Astyanax mexicanus: one gene and its partners. The protein of the gene in region 1 interacts with the protein of each later gene in a pairwise test. Links are inferred from orthologs where the notes say so. Each region holds a gene or a part of one and is shown on either strand. Other genes may lie near its edges.

Evidence for each region.
Region 2: the proteins of exoc1 (region 1) and sybu interact in a two-hybrid assay, tested with the Homo sapiens proteins (2 studies listed by BioGRID and IntAct). The link is inferred for Astyanax mexicanus from reciprocal best matches to the Homo sapiens genes EXOC1 and SYBU.
Region 3: the proteins of exoc1 (region 1) and sfr1 interact in a two-hybrid assay, tested with the Homo sapiens proteins (2 studies listed by BioGRID and IntAct). The link is inferred for Astyanax mexicanus from reciprocal best matches to the Homo sapiens genes EXOC1 and SFR1.

The regions. Positions count from the first base shown.
Region 1 is NC_064408.1:63,951,340-63,959,421, reverse strand, and holds the start of exoc1 (exocyst complex component 1), read left to right. Parts: upstream 1-5,012; 5' UTR 5,013-5,199; intron 5,200-6,882; 5' UTR 6,883-6,890; coding exon 6,891-7,014; intron 7,015-7,167; coding exon 7,168-7,298; intron 7,299-7,872; coding exon 7,873-8,032; intron 8,033-8,082.
Region 2 is NC_064413.1:30,411,754-30,419,296, forward strand, and holds the start of sybu (syntabulin), read left to right. Parts: upstream 1-4,467; 5' UTR 4,468-4,692; intron 4,693-7,543. Other genes in the region: gdf6a (growth/differentiation factor 6-A), read right to left, coding at 1-107. UniProt on the Homo sapiens protein: Part of a kinesin motor-adapter complex that is critical for the anterograde axonal transport of active zone components and contributes to activity-dependent presynaptic assembly during neuronal development.
Region 3 is NC_064414.1:38,354,243-38,361,529, reverse strand, and holds sfr1 (swi5-dependent recombination DNA repair protein 1 homolog), read right to left. Parts: upstream 2,760-7,287; 5' UTR 2,494-2,759; coding exon 2,422-2,493; intron 1,608-2,421; coding exon 1,266-1,607; intron 1,172-1,265; coding exon 980-1,171; 3' UTR 577-979; downstream 1-576. UniProt on the Homo sapiens protein: Component of the SWI5-SFR1 complex, a complex required for double-strand break repair via homologous recombination. Acts as a transcriptional modulator for ESR1.

The sequences.
Region 1 (8,082 bases):
GAAGGAAAAATTGGCTCTTTAGTGCATTATCCAGGTCTGTCTCACAGGCACAATGACCAAACTGGCTGTTGAATATATCAGAATACAGCATATTCAAAACATTCAGTCACCTAAATGATTCCTAGGTAAGTAAGTTAATGAGCTTCAGCAGACAAAATATACACCCTTCTGAGGTGAACAAGAGAAATGCTTTCATAACCTTTACCACAGAAAAGCTAATGACAAAATATCAGCCTAATCCTAGACTTAATTACACAAATGATCTCAACAAAAGGTTACATAGGCCTCACCAAGACTAATATCCACATAATAACAGCAAAACATATAAACTACAATCACAATATGAATAGTCCACTGACAAAACCACCAATTACGCTATTCTGAGTATGTTAGAAATAGGCCAGCTTGTAAAAGGACAAGGATGGTGATGGTAAAGGGCTGTTCATGTATCTAAGATGTAATTGTGTACCTTTAAATCTGAATTACACATTTACATTTCTTACAGATCTCTTCCACGGTTTTAATCATTTGATGTTACATACAAGCACCATTCCCCCTACACAGGTTCACAAAGTGACTGCAGACAGCTCCTCTTAGTGGATGAAAAGTTTACTGCAGGCATTGATTACTGTCACACACTTTAAATAATTCATAAATGGCAATTTTCATTACTGAATAAAAGTTCTCTTCTATGAGCATTTTTTAAACCTTTTTTTTTTTTAATAATTATGACTTGCATTTGGCATTCAATATATTTTTACATTCACATTTTTTCAAAAGTCTCAAAAATGTATGCTGACAATATATGCTAAATACGTAAATACAGGTGAGTTTTCACTTCAAAAATCTGCACTGACATTTTTCCAAACCATCAAAGTTCAGGCTTAGAAGTTGGAGCGTTTTATGATTTTGACCATCCAAGTACTGCCAAACACATTAAATAATGTAACGGTTCTGAGAGCATGCCAACAGCTTCAGCAGTTTTATTTCGAGAAGGTTTTATTTTCTCAGTAAGAGCAAGAACAAGTCCAAGTCCGTTATCAGGAAAGGCAAGGCCATTACTAGAACTAGTTGATTGTGGCGAATGTTAAGACCCCCCACAATATTTTCTTGTTTTATTCTTGATTAAACCAAGGCAAAATGAGGCAAATTCTTTACAGACACTACTCAAAATATTTAAAAATGCATCTTTTTCTATACTGAAGTCACTAAAGACTGAAGTGCAAGAGTTATTAGCAAAGGACTGTATCACAGACTAGCTATTTGAGTACTTATAGATCATGAAATAAATAAAAATAACATTAATAAATGATTACAGTTGTAATTAGAGAGTCAACCATATTTCATCTTATAACCTATGTCATCAACACATTATGTGTTGACTGTTGGCTGTTAAGGAGACATTGATCCCACTGGAGGACCACTGGAAACTCAGGTGCACTGCAGAAATTACTACTGTAGCCATATTTCTTTAAGTAAACTATAAATAAGATACTTATAATTAAAAGTAAAGTTTTTATTCCAGAGCAGTTCTCTGAATCTCATCTTGTACCTCTGTTTGAGGCTTTTCAGTTTTTTGCATTCCAACTTCTAACGTACTAACAACTTCTAACAGCTACACAACCTTTCTCTCAAAAAAGACTGGGCTACATTTAATAAAAGATATTGTGTTGTACAACAAATAGTCTAGAAAGGTCCCAGTCAAACAGCTATTGCCGACTCCTCCAGATACTGTACAGGATTTGACCAACTCTCTTGTCTTGCCTGTGTCTCACTGGTGGAACACTGGAGATACCCCTATAAAAAGAAAAAAAAATTATCATAGCACTGATGTTTCACTGTAATGACCTGCTAACAATAATCACCCCTTGAGAAGAGAAACTGAGGGGACCCAGAATATAAATGGTTGGTAAAAACATAAAAACACATTATAAAAAAAATAAATAAATAATAATAATAATAAAAAAAAAATACAACATGCTGTGTGAGTCACAGTCAGCTGTGTGTAGGTGAGAAGTGTTGCTAAAGTGAAATGTCACCATCACACTCTTTAGTGTTTGTCTTTTATCAGGCTGCCACGTCTACCCGTCATCTCCTCAGGCCACACTGGACTGTCATGACCCTGAGTCATCACAGAAACACGGCTGTATGTTTTGATATTTCACTTTTCCATGGTTTGTCTTCTGATCAGACTACACAAGTTAAAAAACAAGTTTGCTTTAAAAATGACTTACAGCTGCATGTTTCGCAAATATAAAGTTTACAGGTGTGTAATTCTGTTGTGTTAACTGAGCATGCTCAGGCATTATAGAGTCCATATACAGTACATCAACCTCCACAGAAAGAATCTTCATCTGCATCGTTTGCATTATCTACATCTAGTGTGAACAAAGACAACTATGAAAAACATGATTCTACAACTACATGACTGGAAGTAAAACATTTAGTATCTTTAGTTTTTAACAATGTAGCTGTCTGGTACTGAAACTTACCACTCTTGAACAGAAACTCTGCAGTGGATGGTGTGCATACCCCACGTCTAGTCCTATCACTGACCTCGATAGGGTCAACCGTTATACCCATATGTGGGGCCAACATGGAACCCATGGACCAAACTTTCTGTTTTCCTATTGGGTTACCCACACAGGCCCCATTTGGGCATGATATCTGAGCGGCTACCAGAAACAGAAAAGGAGAAAGTAGGTCTAAATTAATTGTATTTTACATCTGACAGACAGTGATACCAAGTTTAAATTTTTTAGATAGCGACATATTTACAAACATTACAAGTAAAAAACAGAAGCAAATGTGTATGTCTCAAATTAACTATTTCTGATGATGTGACATGATATGTTTGCACTTTTTACCACCACTTTACACCACCGGTTTAACAAAATATATATTAAGTTACTGCCTAAATAATTATTAAAAGAAACCACAGTTCCAACCCTGCAATGTGATTGGCTGCGAGGCGTTCTGTGAGTGCCATTATCAGCCGGTTGGTACAAGCCAAACAGCGCAGCTACAAACAGAGCAACAATGGAACTATTTTAACTTGCTTTTATAACCAAATAGATTGCATTTTCTTATCCTCTTTAACTACATTTTTTTTTAAATAAACAGCCATAAAAGAGCTGTGGTATAATCGCAATAATACACTCGAGGTTTGTGATATAGCGTGTAATATTGGCACTGCTTTAGGCATTAGGCCACAGGCCGCACTGCCTCTCGTGTATTATTGCTTAAATGACCACAAGTGTGTAAAATGGCTACCACAGTTCAATTTTACAGTACTGGTAAGAGCTGCTATGTGCCCCACCCCCTCCTACACAAACAAGTGCAAAATAAGCTCATGATGAATTTTACAATGCAAGCATAGTTGTTGATTAGCTAATGTATGTATTCACAATGTTTAATTGTGATGGTGAGTTAATATAAGCCATTAGCTAGTTAGTTAACCTGCAAAATCTGAAAATATAACACATGGGACATTCCAGGATTTCAGAGATGGTCACTTCTGAAAATTTGATCTTCAATTTGATCATTTTAGTCATATATTTATTAAACACAGGTAATAGACTATCAAAAAGTTTGATTTGTCAAGCTCAGGTATCAAAGCAGTTTTTTAAATTAAGTTGTGGTTTACCTCAGGAACAGATGCTAACTGTAAAATTTAGCTGTGTATACAAGATCAAGGACAAACATGGTTATATAATTATATAAAGAAAAAATTGACTATACTCATTATTAGTCTTACAACATGAGTAACAGGGTTGCGTTCACTGAGTGACACACACAACTTGGACATTTGGAAAATTGTTAGAGCACTTACTCTTGGTCTTGCCATGTGGGCAGAAAATGTCCTTGTGATGTAACTTCCTTTGTGGTAGTAGACAAATATTTTTAACTCTTTCTCTGCCAGGTAAAATTCCTTATGGTAACAGGGTTGCGCGCATGTTGTGGGACACATATCAACAAGAGGAAGTAATTTATTTAGAGCTTATTTTAATTGTTAAATTTGCCAAAGGAGTTGGTCACCCAATGTGTGGGACAAGAGAAAACAGCCATTTTTTGAGGTGGTCCAAACTCTTTTGAATAATATATAAGGAGCTTATTTTTCCACCATATTTTACAGTTTGTCTTATAACAAGTACATTTTTCACAAAAAATAGTCATTTAGATATTTTGGATATGTACATTTGAAATTTAAGTGGTCGGACAGGAAATGTACCAAAATCCTGGAATGTCCCACAAATTGGTCCTTTAATATCGACTCACACAGCAGTGGCTATATGTGAGAGCATAGACATTTATACATAAATATGTATAAATATGTAGAAATGTACAGTACAGGCCAAAAGTTGGGACACACCTTTTTTTTTCAATGCGTTTTCTTTATTTTCATGACTGTTTACATTGAAGATTCTCACTGAAGGAATCAAAACTATGAATGAACACGTGGAGTTTTATGTACTTAACAAAAAATGGTAAAATAACATATATATATATATATATATTCTAGTTTCCTTAAAATAGCCACCCTTTGCTCTGATTACTGCTTTGCACACTCTTGGCATTCTCTCAATGAGCTTCAAGAGGTAGTCACCTGAAATGGTTTTCCAACAGTCTTTAAGGAGTTCCCAGAGGTGTTTAGCACTTGTTGCCCCTTTGTCTTCACACTGCGGTCCAGCTCACCCCAAACCATCTGGACTGGGTTCAGGTCCGGTGACTGTGGATTCCAGCTCATTTTCTGTTAAGTACATAAAACTCTACACGTGTTTATCATAGTTTTGATGCCTTCAGTGAGAATCTACAGTGTAAATAGTCATGAAAAAATAAAGAAATCGCTTTGAGTGAGAAGGTGTGTCCAAACTTTTGCCCTGTACTGTATATATGTAAATATATGTAAATGTATATGATGTAAATGTATATAATGTCTATGTGAGTGTTATTAGTGGCTCCGGGCCGGTAGGCCGCGCTGCAGTCAGAGAGCCGGGGAGCGGAGTCAGAGCTCCAGCTGAAGGAGCTCCGCAGCGGAAACAGGGCTGTTGTTGTGATGGTGGAGCAGGTTGGGCTGTGGCCGTGAAATAGACAGTAATGTTAGCGCTGTTTTTATAGGTTAATGTGGACGGGGTTTGTTGTGTGAAGGATAAACCGCTGTTGTTCGCTGTGCTGGAGGCTGTGCGGCCCTGTATTGAGGTGAGGTCTTATTATTATTAGCGGGTAAACACGGCCTGTCCGGGGGAAGTCCTGCAGCTCAGTGTTAGCTGGGTTAGCTTCATTTAAACAAACAGAGTCAACAACTCAGGGTCATTCGGACAGTCAGGAAATCGTGTGGCGTTAAGAAATGACTTTAAACTGGGCAGTGCAGACAGAGAATTTGTACATCTTGTTAGCTCTCAAGATGTCAGATAGTTAACTCAGCTATCTGTTAGCATTGTAGCTAATCTAGTTTAGCTAGCTAAGGTAGCTACGCTAGGTTGGCTGGCTGGCTATCAGTCTAATGTGACACATGTCAAAACTAAGATATCCACCTGCCATCTCCACCACACATCCCTGTGTGCTGCCAAGCAGGGATCCACTTTTAAAGTATCTGTAGTTATCCGCTATTCAGTAGGCTCTTGGTTTTCTGTTTTACAAAGAAAACATTAGTTATTCAAATGATTCATACAAACATAGAGGATTGGTGTTGTTAGGGTATTGGTTTATAATGTTACGGCTGACCAGTGCATTTAATGTTAAAGTGTGCTTTCTGTTTACAAATGAACAAATGAAAAAATAAACTGAATGTGTCTAAAAACTAAATATCTTAATGATGAATCGTGCATATATTTAAAGAATATTGAGATTTTTTCCTATAATAATAGCACAAGGACAACAATAATAAGCATTATTATTATTTTTTAGATTTTTTTTTTATTATTTTAAAAGTTGCAATATGAATAATTATTTTAAACGTTTTAATAATAGACATTTTAAAAGTTACTGGTTCTGGCTTGTCACAATAATTGCAATATTGATTTATCGTATAATAAATTAACACAACCTCAATAATTTTTGATAATCGTGATATCGTCTATTGTGTTTTTTTGTATGTTTGTCCACACATATAACAGTGAATAGTATTTTAGCGAGTCATGCTTTAACAACTGTGACGCCATAACATACACACAGTGTGAACTAAAGTAGGTGAAGAAATAAGTATATCATTCCCAGACTAATTAAAATAAATTGTTTTTTTTTTTCCTTTAAAAAGTGTATAATTACTTTTTTATGCTATTCTGTTTTCATTATGTCAGTGGCATTTAATAGTCCTAAAATTACATAAATATCATATATCGCAATAATTTCTGGGACAATAAATCGTAAGGTAATTTCATGATTGTAATATAGACAATATATATGTCAATATATATATATATATATATATATATATATATATATATATATATATATATATATATATATATATATATATATACTTTTACTATATCACCCAGCTCTCACTGTGAAATTACATACACCAGGGGTGGTGGCTTTTTTTACTGTTCATATCAATATCAGAATTGTATGATATCGACCGAAATTAAAAAAATATATTGAAATATAGATTTGTCATATTTTCAAACATTAGTATAGCGTGTGTTTTCTGTGCAATACCACCTAAAAGAAGGTATTTTAACATTTTACAATAGAATCATGTAAAATTGGTGAACAGCTATTTAAATTTAAGAAGTGACACCAGAGTTTAGAGTCTTCGACATATAATAATCTTATAGTTTTGTTCGTCTACTTTAGGAAGTGCTTTAGAATCTCTTTTCTTCCAAACCAGCCTTATACTCATGCCTTTTTGAGTTTGTAATCAGAATGTACCTTTTCTAGGAGGCAAAATGACTGCCATAAAGCATGCTCTCCAGAGGGACATCTTTACTCCCAACGATGAGCGCCTGCTTAGCATCGTCAACGTCTGTAAGGCCGGGAAGAAGAAGAAGAATTGTTTCCTGTGTGCCACAGGTAAAGAATGATGCGTAGTGAGACACCAGTTTAAAACGCGTCTGATATTAGATTATTATGTAATGTTGTAGAATTCAGAGACTGCTAATATTTATTCATGGCAGTTTGTAACTGGGAATGTCACTGCAAATTTACTAATTTTTTCTGTTCCAGTGACAACGGAGCGCCCAGTGCAGGTCAGGGTGGTAAAAGTAAAGAAGTCAGACAAAGGAGACTTTTACAAGAGACAGATGGCCTGGGAGCTTCGTGACCTGGCTGAGGTTGATGCCAAAGATGCTAACAAGGTGAGATTTTATATTTAAAACAAGCTCACATTCTGTAATATTAACATAACACAAAATAGTATCACATAATAGTAATAATAAGAGGACGAATTGGATAAATAACATCTTAAATTAAGTAAAAAAAAAAAAATGATTGCATTTTCACATCGTCATAAAAATGATCTTGCCTGCAAGAATCGTGTTTTTAACATTGACATAATTTTTATATAAAAAAAATGTAATCTGGCTGTTGTTCTTTGTTGCATCCATTTGTATATACAATAAGAAATAAATAATTTGAGAATCATTCTTATTGTTTGGGTATTGACTAATCTGTTTTACTGTTGTTTCTTACTAGTATTCAAGTTTGTTAATAAAATTTGTATTGAAAATGCCAATTCAGACACGAAAGAACAAATAGTTTAATTTAAGATAGACTGTCTGTGATGGAACAACTACAAATGTGCAAGTGTGTTTCACGTGTTCGTTTTGATCCAAGGATTATTGAGAATTTCCACGTTGCACCCTCAGAAGATTCAGAGATTCTGTTTCCAGCCATTCTCTCTGTCTTATCGTCTACTTTGACTTCCTGCAGGAGAATCCAGAGTTTGACCTACACTTTGAGAAAGTGTATCGCTGGGTGGCCAGCAGCACAGCAGAGAAGAACTCCTTTATTTCCTGCATCTGGAAGCTGAATCAGCGCTACCTGAGAAAGAAAGTGGAGTTTGTAAATGTCAGCTCCCAGCTGCTGGAAGGTAGAACCTACTATTGTTTCTAATTGAGCGCTGAGGTTTAATGGTGGAGA
Region 2 (7,543 bases), on another chromosome or scaffold:
CTGCGCGGCAGCACCGGGGAAGAGATGATGGCGGCCGGTTGGCAGCACGGTAAACTCCAGAGGAAGAAGAAGAGCGCACAGAGAGCCGCTGCTCGCACGGCGTCCATGGCGATGTGGTGCCAGCGCTGCACCCCAGAGTTCTCCACGGTGACTCCAAAGCGCAAACGCACACACACTCACACACACAAACACAGGCACTATACACACACACTACACACACATACACGCATACGGGCCGCGTGCGAGAACTGCTGCGTATCAGCAGTACGGTGCGCTCGCGTTGCCTCTATAGGAGAGAGAGAATGATAGAGAGAGAAAGAGAGAGAGAGGGAGCAGGGGCACTGGGACACGCCCCCCTTCTGTGTTGTATAGGAAAGAGCTGCCTGGACTGGGACTGAGACGCAACACCACCCCCCACCCACCATCACCAACACCACCACCACCACACACCCAGACTACACAGATACGCACATCCCGGAGAACTCTGCTCTCTCTCTCTCTCTCTCTCTCTCTCTCTCTCTCTCTCATTTTCTCTCTCCACACTTGCGAATGCGTCCACTGGGAGAATCAGACACCCCGGACGTCCGGGCCGGTGAGGGAGGGGAGGCTGGAGCATGATTTTAGGCCAAGACTAAAGTGCTGACAGGGGTTAACAGTCACTCACTGATCTGCTGCACCGGCTGCAGCTCACACATCCTCACATCCTCACACACAGACCTGCACAACTGACTGTGCATAATGTCCATATGTCCAGTTTTACTGTGCATGTCTGAGTGGAGTCTGCTGCACTGTGGACTGAACTTTTAAAAAAAAGTTACAGAAAAAAATACAGTGAGCTTTTTACAGTTACACCTGTACAGACTTAAGTTACAGCGGGGGCATATCTATAGAATAAAATTAAAGGGTGTACTAAAAATATATATTTATATATTCATTCAATATGTCATGTTATTTAAAAAAGTTACAGTAAAAGTAAAAAGTTCCAACTTCAAACTATGCCACATACGTATCACAGTAATTTACGGCAAATCGGGTCGGATCACATAAAAAAAATAATAAATAGTAGATATAATAGCCTATATAAAATATCAGCTAAACAACAAGATGCCTAATAATATAAAAAGAAAGAGTAACAGAGTACCTGTTATTTATTGTACAGCAAAAGTTTCTGTGTGAATTTTTATATAAAAAGTTAGAAAACAGTTGGTATTCTTCTAGTATTTGAAATATGCTTAAGTCTAACTATTTGTTTTTTAAATAAATTAGGTCTATAAGAGACTGGGCGCGAGTGTGTATCGACCATACAAACCGGCAGACGATAACATTTATGAGTTACAAGATAATTATTTCCCAAGGTTTTTTTTTTTTTAAACCTTTTGTTGGCAGTGTTGGGCATCTATCTGCGCAAAGGCCTTAAAAGTGGATGAGCACTGTTCTGTTTTCTGTAATTTTGCTGCCCCCTATCGGATACACTTTGTTAACACGTCTTATGTTTCTTAAATAACGTATCTAGATTCTTTAAGTTCGTTAGGAAAATAACTTTACCAGGCTGTAATTTTGCCTTAACTTAAGGAAATATTTAGTAAAAGGCGTTTTCTCTGAATTGTATGTCTAACATGGAAAAGTAATAATTTATTTTAAATAGGCTGTGGAACTTTGGGACAATAATTTTTAAACCTGGAAATTAATAGGGTGTGTTGTTGATGCCTAGGGTCAACAATCTTAACAATTCTCTGAAAAAAAGAAATTGAAAGCTCTTTATACACTTAATGTCGCATAGAAGCAAAAAAGAACTCTGCACTGATCTGTAGATTATGTTTGGGGTCTTCTGTATTGAATGTGGATGTGATTTAACGCTTGTCAGTTAGAAGGGGCACTTTTAGACAAGACAGATGCTGACGGTTATGATGATTATCAGCCGCTGCGCTGTCAATTGTGAGTGGTAATACCTTCTATGACGTATTCCTGATACACAAGTATGGAGAAATCGAGGAATGTTAAATGCCCATACATTTTCAGAAATAGAATGTCCAATCCATCTGGCACCAACTATCAGTCTTTGTATGAACTTTGATAGTTAACTGATTGCTATTTATTTTTGTTAAATTAAATCTTAACTTGATTATGTTGTTCGATGAGAGAAAGAAAGCTTTAGCATTGCTTTCTGTACTCTCACTACACTACAATCTAAAAAAAATAAAGAATTACTTTTTTTCTTGATGTAAAGGCTTTTTTTTTTACAAAGTTAAAGGTTCTTTTCTACAATCATGGTTATTTTTGAAACCACAATTGTCTCTTCTTAAATTAATTCAAATGTATTTTTGTAGCACTTCAAATCAGCATTGCAAAAATATGGTAGCACCATTGAGAATTAGACCAAATATTAAATAAAGGTCATAGAACCCCTAGTTACAGATAGTGGCTTTAAGAGGATCCAAAGGGGGGAACAATTATTTTCTGGTCAGACTATTCATAAATTCTTGATAGAGTCAATATAGAAAAAGTCAATTTTCTATTTCAGATTTTGGTACACCCATGATATGGTGGACCAAGTAAAGTTAAATGCTTTCACAAATGTCCCATCCATTTGGCACACACTATCAGGCCTCACCTAAACTTTTACAATTACGTCAGCTTTTCATGAGGATCTGGCCAGTGTTCAACTTCACTCACAAGATAACTCCTAACAACCATTAAAAAGGAGTTTGTTGATGCAGGAACAGCATCTACTGCAATGGATTGGTGGCCTGTCCAGGGTGTATATTGCCCTCTGCCCAGTGCCGGCTGGGATAGGCTCCAGGCATGCAATCTTTTTTTTTTTTTTTTACACAAGAACAGCACCCAATAGGGAGCTTTTTTGTAACCATGGGGCACCAAGCAGCATTATCTCTTTTGCCCTCTCATTGTGTCTGCCAGTGTACCCAAGGCCTTAATATTTTCAAAACTAAACAAAACAAAACTAAGAAGAATTAACAAATTAAATGTAATTTAAATAAGGTTAACTAAGAAAATAAGAAACAAAATCAGTCGCACATAGACCGAGACACAGCATTTTAGTAACACATAGGCCTATGCACCAAACACTGAGACAGAGGGGCTCAAATACACAAGGAGGGTGAGGAACATCTGGGATTGGTAAACGAGTGGGCGGGATTACAAACAAGACATAAGGTGACAACACTGATAGATAGAAAGTAGCTAGGCAGAGACAGGACAATAACAAAACAAGGCCATGTCCTTAAAAAAGCACATGGCTGGCAATACAAGACAGGAAAAGAGAGGACTGGAGCACATAGAACCAAAAAAGAAAAAAAAACACAATACACAGGTTAAGGTATGACAAATATTAAGTAACATTTCCACCTGGTCTTCCAACACTTAAATGCCTCAATGCCACCTACAGCATGTACTGTAATTAGAGGGTATTTTTAAAGAGTACCCTCTTACTCCTCTCGCTTGAAATCCAACTGGCAAAATGTGTTGATTTAACACTGGCAAATTGACTGTGTAGTTTGCTACTAGGCTCCGAGGTACCTCAAAGCATGCCTGAATTGACTAAATAGCGTCAAAAGGGAGTCTGCACACTTATGGGTGTGTGGCGTACACGTGCAAGAACAGAACCCATCATTTGGCTGGCAGAAGATTGTCACGTGTATATCCGTCTATTCATCTTTCAGGAGTCTGTTCATTTTCACTTCATTTTTGGAATTTACCACCAGATGGCGTTGTCTCCTTTTTTTTTTTTACTGGAGAAACAGTCTCTCAGTTCGCAACGTAGGTTCGTATTTTATAGTCTTATCAAATGATTTTAGATTACAGCTTGCTACAGTTTGTCAGCATACAATAGTCAATGCTACTTGTTGGTGATGATTGCTGTCGTGATGATAGGACGTCTTGTTTGGGTGAATAATAATAAACAAAAAAATCATAAACAAAGACAAAAGAAACAAAACAACAGCTTAGCAATTGTTGTCTACAGTTTCAGAATAAACGGTGCAAAATTAGGATAATGGGGTGTTACCATTGTTGCCCCTGAGATGGCGGCAAACCACCCCAGTCTTTTTTTAGATAAGGGGAATATTTATACTAATATTAATTTCCTTTCCTGCAGTTGTTTTTCTCCACGCTTTAAGGGACAAGGTTGGACCTGATGGATCATGGTGTAGCTTTTTGAGGGTGCATTTGCACAGTGTGTATTTGTGTGGTGAACAAGGACGTATAGTCTATTTTTTCTCACATCCATAAAACTATAAGCACTATTTAAATCTGAGCCATATACAGTAATTAGCTACTTACTGTATAGAACTTCAGCACCATGGAGAGCTGAGACACAGCCAAGCTTTTGAGCTAAGCTGCTCCATCTTTAGCACCAAGCCTCTGAACCTGAGCCTGCTGCTCCTGCTGATGCTGCTGGTACAGTAAGAGTTAAGCCTTGTTGTGTTACATAACACACTTGGCACCTCAGTCATATTCAGCCCTGAAGCAGCGCAGCTCCCAGAGAAAGTGCGATCTCCTGGTCTGACCAACCAGAGCAGGAGAGATCATCTCGTAGACCATCTCATATGTAAGAGGGGCAGGACGATACATAATCCATCAAACAACAAAGCTGGAGATTGACTGAGGGAATCAGACTGAGGGAAGCTGCGCATCTTCACCACACCGACCCATCCTCATCCTACAACTACAGCTCAGGCAAGTGCTTTTCCTTACTGCGTCATAACATTTACTGCTGTTTGGACACTTGTCATGGTGTGTATGGGATGTCTGAGCATTTTTGTATTGAAACTTAAAAGCTTTAGAACTCTGAGATTGAGGAAATAACAGAAAGCGATGTTACAGAAGAGTATGACGCATGAAAGAAAAATAAGACAGAATAATCATGCTTATCCGACATCGTCATTTGCGCAATTCCGAAATTCCGAAATGTTCATGGTTACGATCATGGGTATGATTTGAGCTGGTAAAAACACAGTATTAGGTGGGGCAGGTTGCCACGCAGTTACCACAGCTTCAGCACCAGGGGTCCTGGACAGCACTCGAAGTGTACACAGTGTTCCAGACCACGTGAGACCAAGACACGTTGGTTGTTTATCACAGATGGTAGACAGATACCATTGTTGTATTATAAGCTGATGCGCTGGAATGGTGTCAGTTAGTTCTGCAAGTGTCAACAATAGAAGACAACATAAAAAAATAAAATAATAATAGTAATAATAATGATAATAATAATACGGGTGCACGTTTTTTGACTATTGGGATGTGACGATCCTCCTGTTGTTTAATCTGAACAAAGAAGATTAAGACAAACAAAGTTGCACCTGTCAAAATAAATGGCTGTATCAACAAATAACCATATTTTGCTCGTTCATGATTCATTAGCAGAGCTAGAAAATGTTTAATAAAACAAACAAAAATAAATTCAGTATATACTAAAGAAATATGAACAGATTTCTACTTAAAAGAGTACAAAGTTTGTCGCTGGGGCTGTACCCTAATATAGAGGTACAAAAGAGTATCTTGCAGTGAAAATCATTTTTTGCACCAATGTTTTTTGCACCAGTAAAGATTATAAAAATAAACTGAATATGTGTCAAGAACGCGATGTTCCAAAACTGTCTGTCTTTTAAATGAAAATATATAATAAAAAAATGTACTGCTTATTAGTTCAGTGATGCAGAATATCGAATATACCTTTTGGCTACAACGGGGATGGGTTAAAATGTTGTTGAGTTTAATTTAAAGTGCATTACATAAGAAGACAATCATAAAATCATAGAATCATCAAAAGATCTGCAGTCTACTGTGATTATAAAAAATACAGAAGACTCTCAAGAACTCTCAAGCAATAAATATGAAATATAAATGAGAGTACATCATTATAGCATGACTAACATTCATTCGTCAGTTTGTCTGTGGTGCTCTGCCAAGTACTTAATCCAGAACACATGACCAAGTTCTAGACATGAGCCAAGAACTAGAAAAACTAGAACTGATGGATTGTTAATCATCTATAGACTGTTGACTGTTGCAGTTGGTGTTGAATAGTCGACATACATTGTTGCATCAATACTCAATAAAAGCAAAGAGGTGGCTTCAAGTGGTCCAGTGGTTCAGCGGGCTGAGCGCTGCCACTATGATTGGGAGATTGCCGGTCGGGAGATTGTTCGAATCCTGTTTATGTAGCTTGCTATTAGCTGCTGGAGCCCTGAGAGAGCACAATTGGCCTTACTCTTTCAGGGACGATAAAAGGCATTCTTTCCCCTCATCACTCCTATGGGTGATGTAGATCAGCACAGGGCATCTGTGAGCTGATATATCTGAACCGAGATGCTGCACTTTCCTCCGAGCGTGCTGAGATGCTACTCAGCAATGCTGCATCAGCAGCAGTTCGAAAAGAAGCGGTGGCTGACTTCAGATGTATCGGAGAAGGCATGCGTTAGTCTTCACTTTCCTGATGTTGGGGTCCTAATGAGTGGGTTGGGTTATTGGCTGTGTAAATTGGGGAGAAAATGGAAAAAAAACAAGCAAACAGATGACAAAACAGGATAGGTCCACTGTGGGTTGCGTAGTGTAGTGGATAACAACACTGTCTTCTTTATAATTAAGGTTTGATTTCCCATTCAGGAAAGTTCACACCACTTAACACCAATAAAAGTCATTGGGCAAGCCTCTGAATGCAACATTTGCCTACCTGCTCCAGATAGGAGGATCAGCCAAATGCTTAAATGTAAATGTAATGGGTTCTTGGTCGATGCAACAGGAGAGGGTTATTTGATTAAAATCCAAAAAGGTCTCACGCCAAGGTCCAGAACCTAATAATCTCTAACTTGCATCATGATTCTGTGCCATATGCTGAAGCATACTGAAGTAGTCTAATAGCTACATTAATGTTGTATGTAGCGAACAAATAAATGTCAAATGTTAATCCTCCTTTTTTTTTTACTAATGCAGACAAAGAAATGAAGAAAATGAAAGCTGAAACTGTAAAAAAACAAGTACTTTGGGAAAAAAAAGCACAGAAAATGATTGGTAAAACAAGCAAAAAAGGCATCAGTAGATAAAGAGTTAAAAGGATTGTTTATGTGTTTTGTTGTTCCCACTAGTAAGACTATAAAATGTGAAAAGCATAAGACAAATTCACCACTTCATTAAATTCAGAAATTAGCAAGTAAAACAATTTTTATCATCTGGATACTGTATGCAATGCATTCATGACTGTCTAAAAAACAAATGGGATGGGTAAAATGTTTCCATATCAGCATGATATTCTCTGTATCTTGCTATTCATCAGCTAATCTGCAAATTATGTAAAGTTGATTTGAAATTTAAAATGAATTATTAATAAATAAATGTGCTCTACTTGCTCAAGTGTGTTACATAAGAAGACATGAGTCATAGAAAATGTAACCTGTACTTGTTTAGTTCTGGTTATAGAATCAACTGTAGTTCACTGTGAAAAACTGTGAAAAACAGGCAATGAATATTAAATATCAACTATTAATGAGAGTACAGCACTCATTGCTCATTCCATTGTTTTGCACAA
Region 3 (7,287 bases), on another chromosome or scaffold:
GAGTGAAACATACCAAGAAAATAGAATGTAAGAGCAGTACAGTAACAGTAAAAAAGAAAGATAAACACAGAAACCAAAGTAAATGCTCTAAATAATGTTACTCTAATCAGGGCTGCAGACCTTTTATGACCTTATCATCAGAAGAAAACTGAGAACATTAAAAAGCTGATAAAGCAGGTGAAAGACAAACTGGACTGAAGAAAGAGAACATAGCTCTTGATCTGCAGCTGGCCAGCGTGGAAAGGACTGTTAAAGAATGAAGCATCTATGAGGCAGTATTTATCAGACTTTAAAATCTACAGCTTTTGAGATGCAGTACAGGTTTAGAATATATTTCACTCTGCACTTTGTAATCATTAAAATTATTCAATATTCATAAAAACAGGCAGAACACATTTGTGTTAAAGTATTTGCAAATCACTTTGTTCGTAAATGAATACTTAATGTGTCGGTCATTTCAAAATCCTTGCAAGAACACACAAAATTTACACCCACTCCTGGCCATGAATAAAGTGTGTGGAGCATCACAAAAGTGACTGCACTTAAATTCAACTTCAACTCCAAACTACATAGAACTCATTTTAAACAAAATGTTGTTTATTCACAGTCACCTTTTTAAGCAAAGACATCAGCTTTAACAAATAATTGCATTTTCAATAGTATTAAACAGGTGAACAAAAAGTGCAAAGTGCAAAAAACTAAGTACAATGACTTAGAGGTTAAACTCTGTTGTCGATGAAGTTTCACAGTAACTTGAAAAACACTTCAATCAAAGTCAGGATGCTGTGACAGTTTTACATGCACTAAGTTCAAAATCAGTTACATTGAATCATCCTTTTCTTCAATGTTAAAATAATACTTCTACCACTTAATGTTCCCAAACCCCTAAATGAAGATTTAAACAGTAAAGGATTGAAAACAGAGATTTATGATGACAAGAACAACAATAACATAGAACAAAAAAAGACCTTAATGAATATTAGCTGTCTGTGAAGTCCTCCGCTGTCCTATCAAAGTGCAGAATACTGTCCTCCAGTCCAAAGTGGTCAATAAGCTGAGAGAGGCTGGCTTTCTGGCGATCTGTAGGTAATTCTGTTTGTAGTTCATACAGCACTGCTTGAGCACACCGCCTCCATTTATCTATCAGACTCTGCAGCTGGGTCAGATCGTTCTAATAAGAGAAAAAATATATCATTCACTACGGACACATTTTTTTTATTATCATGTTTTAACACAAACACAGATATATTCATTATGATATTTACCTTCTTTCTGTACATTCTGACCATATTCAGCCTTCGCAGAGTCTCAGCTTTCTCCTTGACATCTTTCTTTAATTTCTCTTGGAGGTAAAGTAACTCACTTTGAGAGGCCTGAGAAAGGTCAGACCCACATCTCTCCACACAGTCTTTAAAGTCTTTCTTGGTCTCATTTCTGTTCACATCAATCTCAGCCTCATCCTCTGTTGGTCCAGTCTGATCTGCCTCTCCGTTTAAACTGTGTGGTAAGTCATCTTCATCCACTTTAAGCCGTTTGACCACACTCAAAGGGGATGTAAAGGAAGGCCGTGATCTTTTTAACCTGGCTTTCAGGGCAGCACTCATGGGCTAGGAATAAATAGAGAGGCATTCAAACACTGCACCTTAAACCACACATTTTTTTTATTATTGTGGGCACATGTGTGCGAAGGTTAAAATTCTGATGTAACAAATTACACAAAAATGTCAGAATTTGTATTTAAACATTCTGTTCTATAAATTGTCAGAACTAGCTCTATGTAACATTAAACATTTTATTAAAGCATTTAAATTGTTATGATTGTTGGAACAGACCTATATCAGCAAAAATAAATTTTAAAGGAGCTAGTTTTATCTTCAGCACTAACTCTAAAATGGGGGGCCTTGTAAATCAGAAATCAGTCGATTCTAGAAATCAGTGGTGACCTTAGGTAACCTAGCCCTAGAATTATATTATTACGTTATATAATTATATAATTACGTTATAGCAGTGAATTGTTTTGACAATATAGGGACAATACAGCTACAGCTTCAGATTGCAGCCTGTGAGAATAAACGTAAACCATACATTTTTCAACCCAGCAATCCAATTTCCATTTATGTTCTTGATTTGTCTTTAGTTTGTAGTTAATTTATGTCACCTAAACTAAAGAAAACTTTTAAACCTCCAACAAACCTTTAAAGCCCAGTAAGGGTCTGTAAATTAGCTAGCTAACTATTTACACATGATATATCAGTAAATGTCGTTTGAATATCTAATATTTATTAGACCTAATCAAAGACTTAATGTTTTATATGTACTCCTAACTGTACAGTAAGTCACAAACCTATATTGAAGCACAGTCATGAAACAAATGTATGTGTGTATGTAACGTTATATATATATAGTTAAACTGATAACTACCTTGTTTACACTGGATCCACTTGGAACAGACTCCTGATGCTCTGATGAGAGTCTCACCGGTGTTTTATCCATAGCTGTCTGTCTGTCTGTCCGCAGCCAATTCAAAGTAGCAGGGAAACTTTTACAGCTGAAGCTAGTAAACAAGCTTAGCTTAACTAAAGCTGCGCTTTAAGACAGAGCAAGCATTAAGGAAACTCAGCACAGTCGATCTATCTTGTTAAATATGCAAGATCTGCAATTAAACAGCATGATTATTTGGCTATATAACGAACGGTAGCTCTGAAACTCTCAGCTGAAAAACAGCAGTTTACATTCATACTACCGCCTGCTGCCTCCAAATGAATCGTCACTTCCGGGTAACACAAGGGTTTCATGGGAAATGTAGTATATTTCCAAAGCTAAAAACTTGCATTTATCAAAATAGCACGTTTATATAAAGATCTCCTGTCTTTAATATATAGTTAATTGTGAAACGCATTTAATATGAGAATATAACTAGTCGTATAACTATAGTAAAAAGGAACTAGAAAGGTTTATTTATAAATAGTAAAGAAATAAGTATGCAGAAAAAGTGAGAAAAAAAAACCATTTATATATTCTTATTGCCTACAGTGTTACAGTACAACTACAGTTTCCATGCTTTCTCCTTGACATCTTTCTTTAATTTCTTTTAAAGGTGAAGTAACTAAATCTGAGAGAGGTGAGACCCACATCTTTCCATACAGTCACATACATTCCATGTGCCTCTTGGACTCATTTCTGTTCACATCAATCTCACATCATTCTGGAAAATCGTCTTCGTCCTCTTTAAGCCGTTAACCTTCTATTTGCCTATAATGTTAAATATTTGAACTCCCCTAAATTGCCTTTGTATTTTAGCTGCTTTGAAATTCACATAACGTTATTTGGTGAAACAGATAATTGCAGTATTTATACGAAAGTAATGGTTTAAACAGTCACATTTTTTACACTGTGGGTAGATAGTTGAACAGAATTCATTGTGTTTCAAGCAGCTTTTAGTTTAAAAGTAAAGGGAAAAAATGTAAGGGAAAAAGTTGGAGATATAAGGTACTTTTTTGGTAAGATTGATTTGATATAATTTAGGACCAGAGACCAGTAAAAAAGATGGACGCTGTGTCTCCGTTCCCATTCACTCAATGAAAATGAAGAAAAAATCTTCCACCATGTTGGCGATCCTGACACCCCAGTCTGCACAGTAGAGACCAGAGGAAGGAGAAAGACTGTGGAGAGACAGCCTACTAATTTGAATAACCCCGCCCCTGAGGGCTGCCTCGCGGTCACAGACTGCAGAGCGGAGCTGACGATCTATTACTGGTCCCACCCATAACCAGCCCTTTTACAATAACCACACCTTTTTTGAACAGAGCTGAATAACGTTTTAAAAACGAATTCTTTGGGGATATAAAAAATTGACAATATAAGCAGAGGTTACACTAGCTGTTGCATTTAATTAATGGAGGTAGAATTACAGTATATTAGAAAAATGTGTGATTGAAAGTTGTCTATTTTGCCATTGAAACCTATGGGGATGGGTGGGGTTACACTGCTTTCTGAAACCGAACAGCAGGGGGCGCCCGACCTGTGGTGGCTTCAGTTTTGCGAGACGATGCTCTGTCCAGCTATATACAGTCTATGTTTAGGACATATAGATGATAATACAGTCTGTATTAGATTATATTTTTTTACAGTAATGAGTGGTGATAATGGTGAGTTTTACATATAATTGTTATAAGGAAAATTAGGCATGTCAGCAAGAGGAGGACGGTCAGTGTGCAGGTAAGACCTACTAACAAGAAGTAAGTTAGAAAGAATATCTGGCTGGACTGGATTCCCTTTACACACTGAAAAAATACTTAATTGTCACTGGATCAATTACACTCTGAGCTGATCTATTTGGCCCCAGTGAGTTAGCACAGGTTTTTATAACAATTGTATATCATGCCCACAGGAAATGGGCAAGAAAATGGTGGTTAAAAGTAAGTCATAAATTTCATGTAGCTACAGAAAGAGAGAGTACGCCCTCCTTTTTACTGTACCACTCTTTCTTTTACAAGACCAAATGCTTGCCTTACGTGCGTTACCTATTTAATCAGAAGATACAGTTATTTAATTATTATAGTGCTGCTCCTTCTGCTTTTGCCTTCATCCACAGAATGTTGTGGAGATCAAAAAGTCAGCATGTCCCGGCTGGTGTTCAAAATGTTTACTGCTTGGAGTTCTGTATTGCTTATGGTTTCACCCAAAGCTAGAATTAGAGCCACAAGCTGCTTTCTCATAAAACAGCATAATCATCCCTGCTTGGTGGGGAGAAGTTCCAGTTGCAAAAAAGATAGGTGGAGTTTGGATTTTGGCTCACTGGGTTTTTCCAGTGATGATTACTATATAATGTGGTGTGACTAGGTCCTCATTATAGACTGTTTATCACAACCCACAGTTGTACTGTTCATGTATTTAATTAAGCACATTAAGTAAACATTGTCAGTGCAGGCTAGAAAAAGTAAGTGAACTCTTCAGCTTGATGACTTAATTAATCTAAAGATAATATTTAGCATCAATCAGATGTTGATTAGTTTTGCACAACATTGAGCGGGTACACCAGCTTCATCATGTATAGAAAGTTGTTTGCATCTAGGCATTGTTCACCTTTTTTGAGAAGAACATATTTTTCAGTATCAAAGCTTTGTTTTTCTTTATTAAATAAACAAAACACTTGTATAACCCACACTTTTATTTAAAACACTTTGGCAAATTAGCTATCCTTAAAAGCATTAACACAGAGGTGGGCTTCCTTTTTCTAGTCTGTGGACATTAAATTAATGTCCTTATTAAAAGACATGAACAGCACAAATGTATGTGTGTGTTTTAGTGTTTATTGTTTGCCTATTATTGCACCTGAGATCATTTTATTACTAATTTAAAATGATCAGTTAAGTAATAATCAGTGCAGGAATCTGCCAAATCAAATTCACAAAATCACATTGCTTGGAAAATATTTAGACCAGGAAGCAGTTTCCATTAATCAGAAAATAATGTTAATTAATTGATAATCCCTTCCACCTGGTTGTGAATGGAGCTTTAATGCCTAGACATTCAGGACAAGAGAATTGCTCTTTGATGACAACAATAACACAGGGCAGGTGTACATATCTACACAATAGCCTAGATAAAGTGTCAACTATAATGTTTCTTACACAATAGAGGCTGGGTGTGTCTTCTGTATCGACATGCCTTTGATGTGGTGAAAAGAGTTTTAGGGAGATTGCAGTTGTTCTGAAGAGAAAGTGTATCATACTGTAGACCTATGTGTTTTCTGCACACCAATGAGCTTAATAATAATAATATTAATAATTATAATAATAATAAAAGTTGCAACTCCCCTTTTAAAGCATATATTTGTATTCATAATAGACAATAAGTGATCAACATGTACCCACATTCAGCAGCAACATAATTAATATTTTATATATATGTATTCATACTTGCATTTTATATACAATAGATATACTGTATATTGTATATATGGACATACAACAAACACAGAAATGTTGATTTCTGTTTGTTGAAATCTTGTTTACAGGTCTCTGGTAAACCGAAGTTGATGTCATTGGACTGGTCCTTGTGGTTGTTTTAAAAGAACTCTGATGTAAGTAGATCAGCTGGTAATGTGTTAACATTTCCATGACAGTGCATGTTTAGCAGAAATGTAATGGCAATAAAAACAAGCCATGTCAGGTTTGCATGACATTCGTTTACCACACAGTGGACAAGAAGTGTGGCTATTTTCTTACTTCACCATTTTACTTGTGGCTGTGGACTTTTTCTAGCATAACAGGGTGGTGATTAGAGGGTCAGCATATAGTAAGACAGGTACTGTTTCAATCTAGCATTTTAACTTTGGGTTATGATATATAATAATAAGGTTATAATATTTGTAATATTTGTAGGTACAACCCAGCAATAATCAAATAGTACAGTACTGTTTATCTGGCATGCTTAATTAGTAAATTACATTCGGCTGAATCCTTGCATGTCTATACTTACCTTTTTTTTTTTTTTTAGATAATATGAATCTTGCCGATGTCCACTAAACATCCACCAAACGTTGTCATTTTGGTGATACAAAATTTTGTCCAACAGTGAAGATATAGATAGGGTCTCCAGGGGTGAACTCCCAATTATGTTGTTTTTTTTTTAGTTAGAATAGGGAGATTATCTTAAAATAAGCTCCCCCTTCAGTGGCATAACAACCTTCTTACATTTGTTTTATTTCCAAGAGACTGATAACACATTCTGCATTTTCAATAATTAATATTATTAATTTCACTTCTCATCTACTTCTCATTTTTCTGTGTTAATAGGGGCCAAAAGGAACAGTATTCTAATAATAACTTTTTAAACCAAGCATCCTGTTGAAAATGTTCTGCCTTTCTGCTACTGTTCCTGCATTCACACATGCTCAGGAGATTCCACTGCTGTTAGCTGTACTCTGTGAATCAGCCTCAAGTGATGGCACATGTTTGAAGTCAACAACTTTGTATAGCAACCAACCCACCAGAGTTGGCCTTCGTGGAGCCCTGGCTGTTCTGATGGCTGTTCTGTGGGGAGCAGAGGTGGAGTCCAGGCTGAACGTGAGTCATGTGTATTGTGTGTCTGGAAGGTGTGGTTAGCTGGGCAGCAGGACAGAGCTGAGCACGAGGGGAAAAGTATTTGGCTCTACAGGCCAACATTGGCTTTGTAGCTCAGGAAAGACTTTCGTTCACATGGAAACCAGTACCATCGTCATAACCAATCATTTGTGCTGCTCCTTTCAGAGATGGTGAATCATTGGGATATTATCCTGGATAA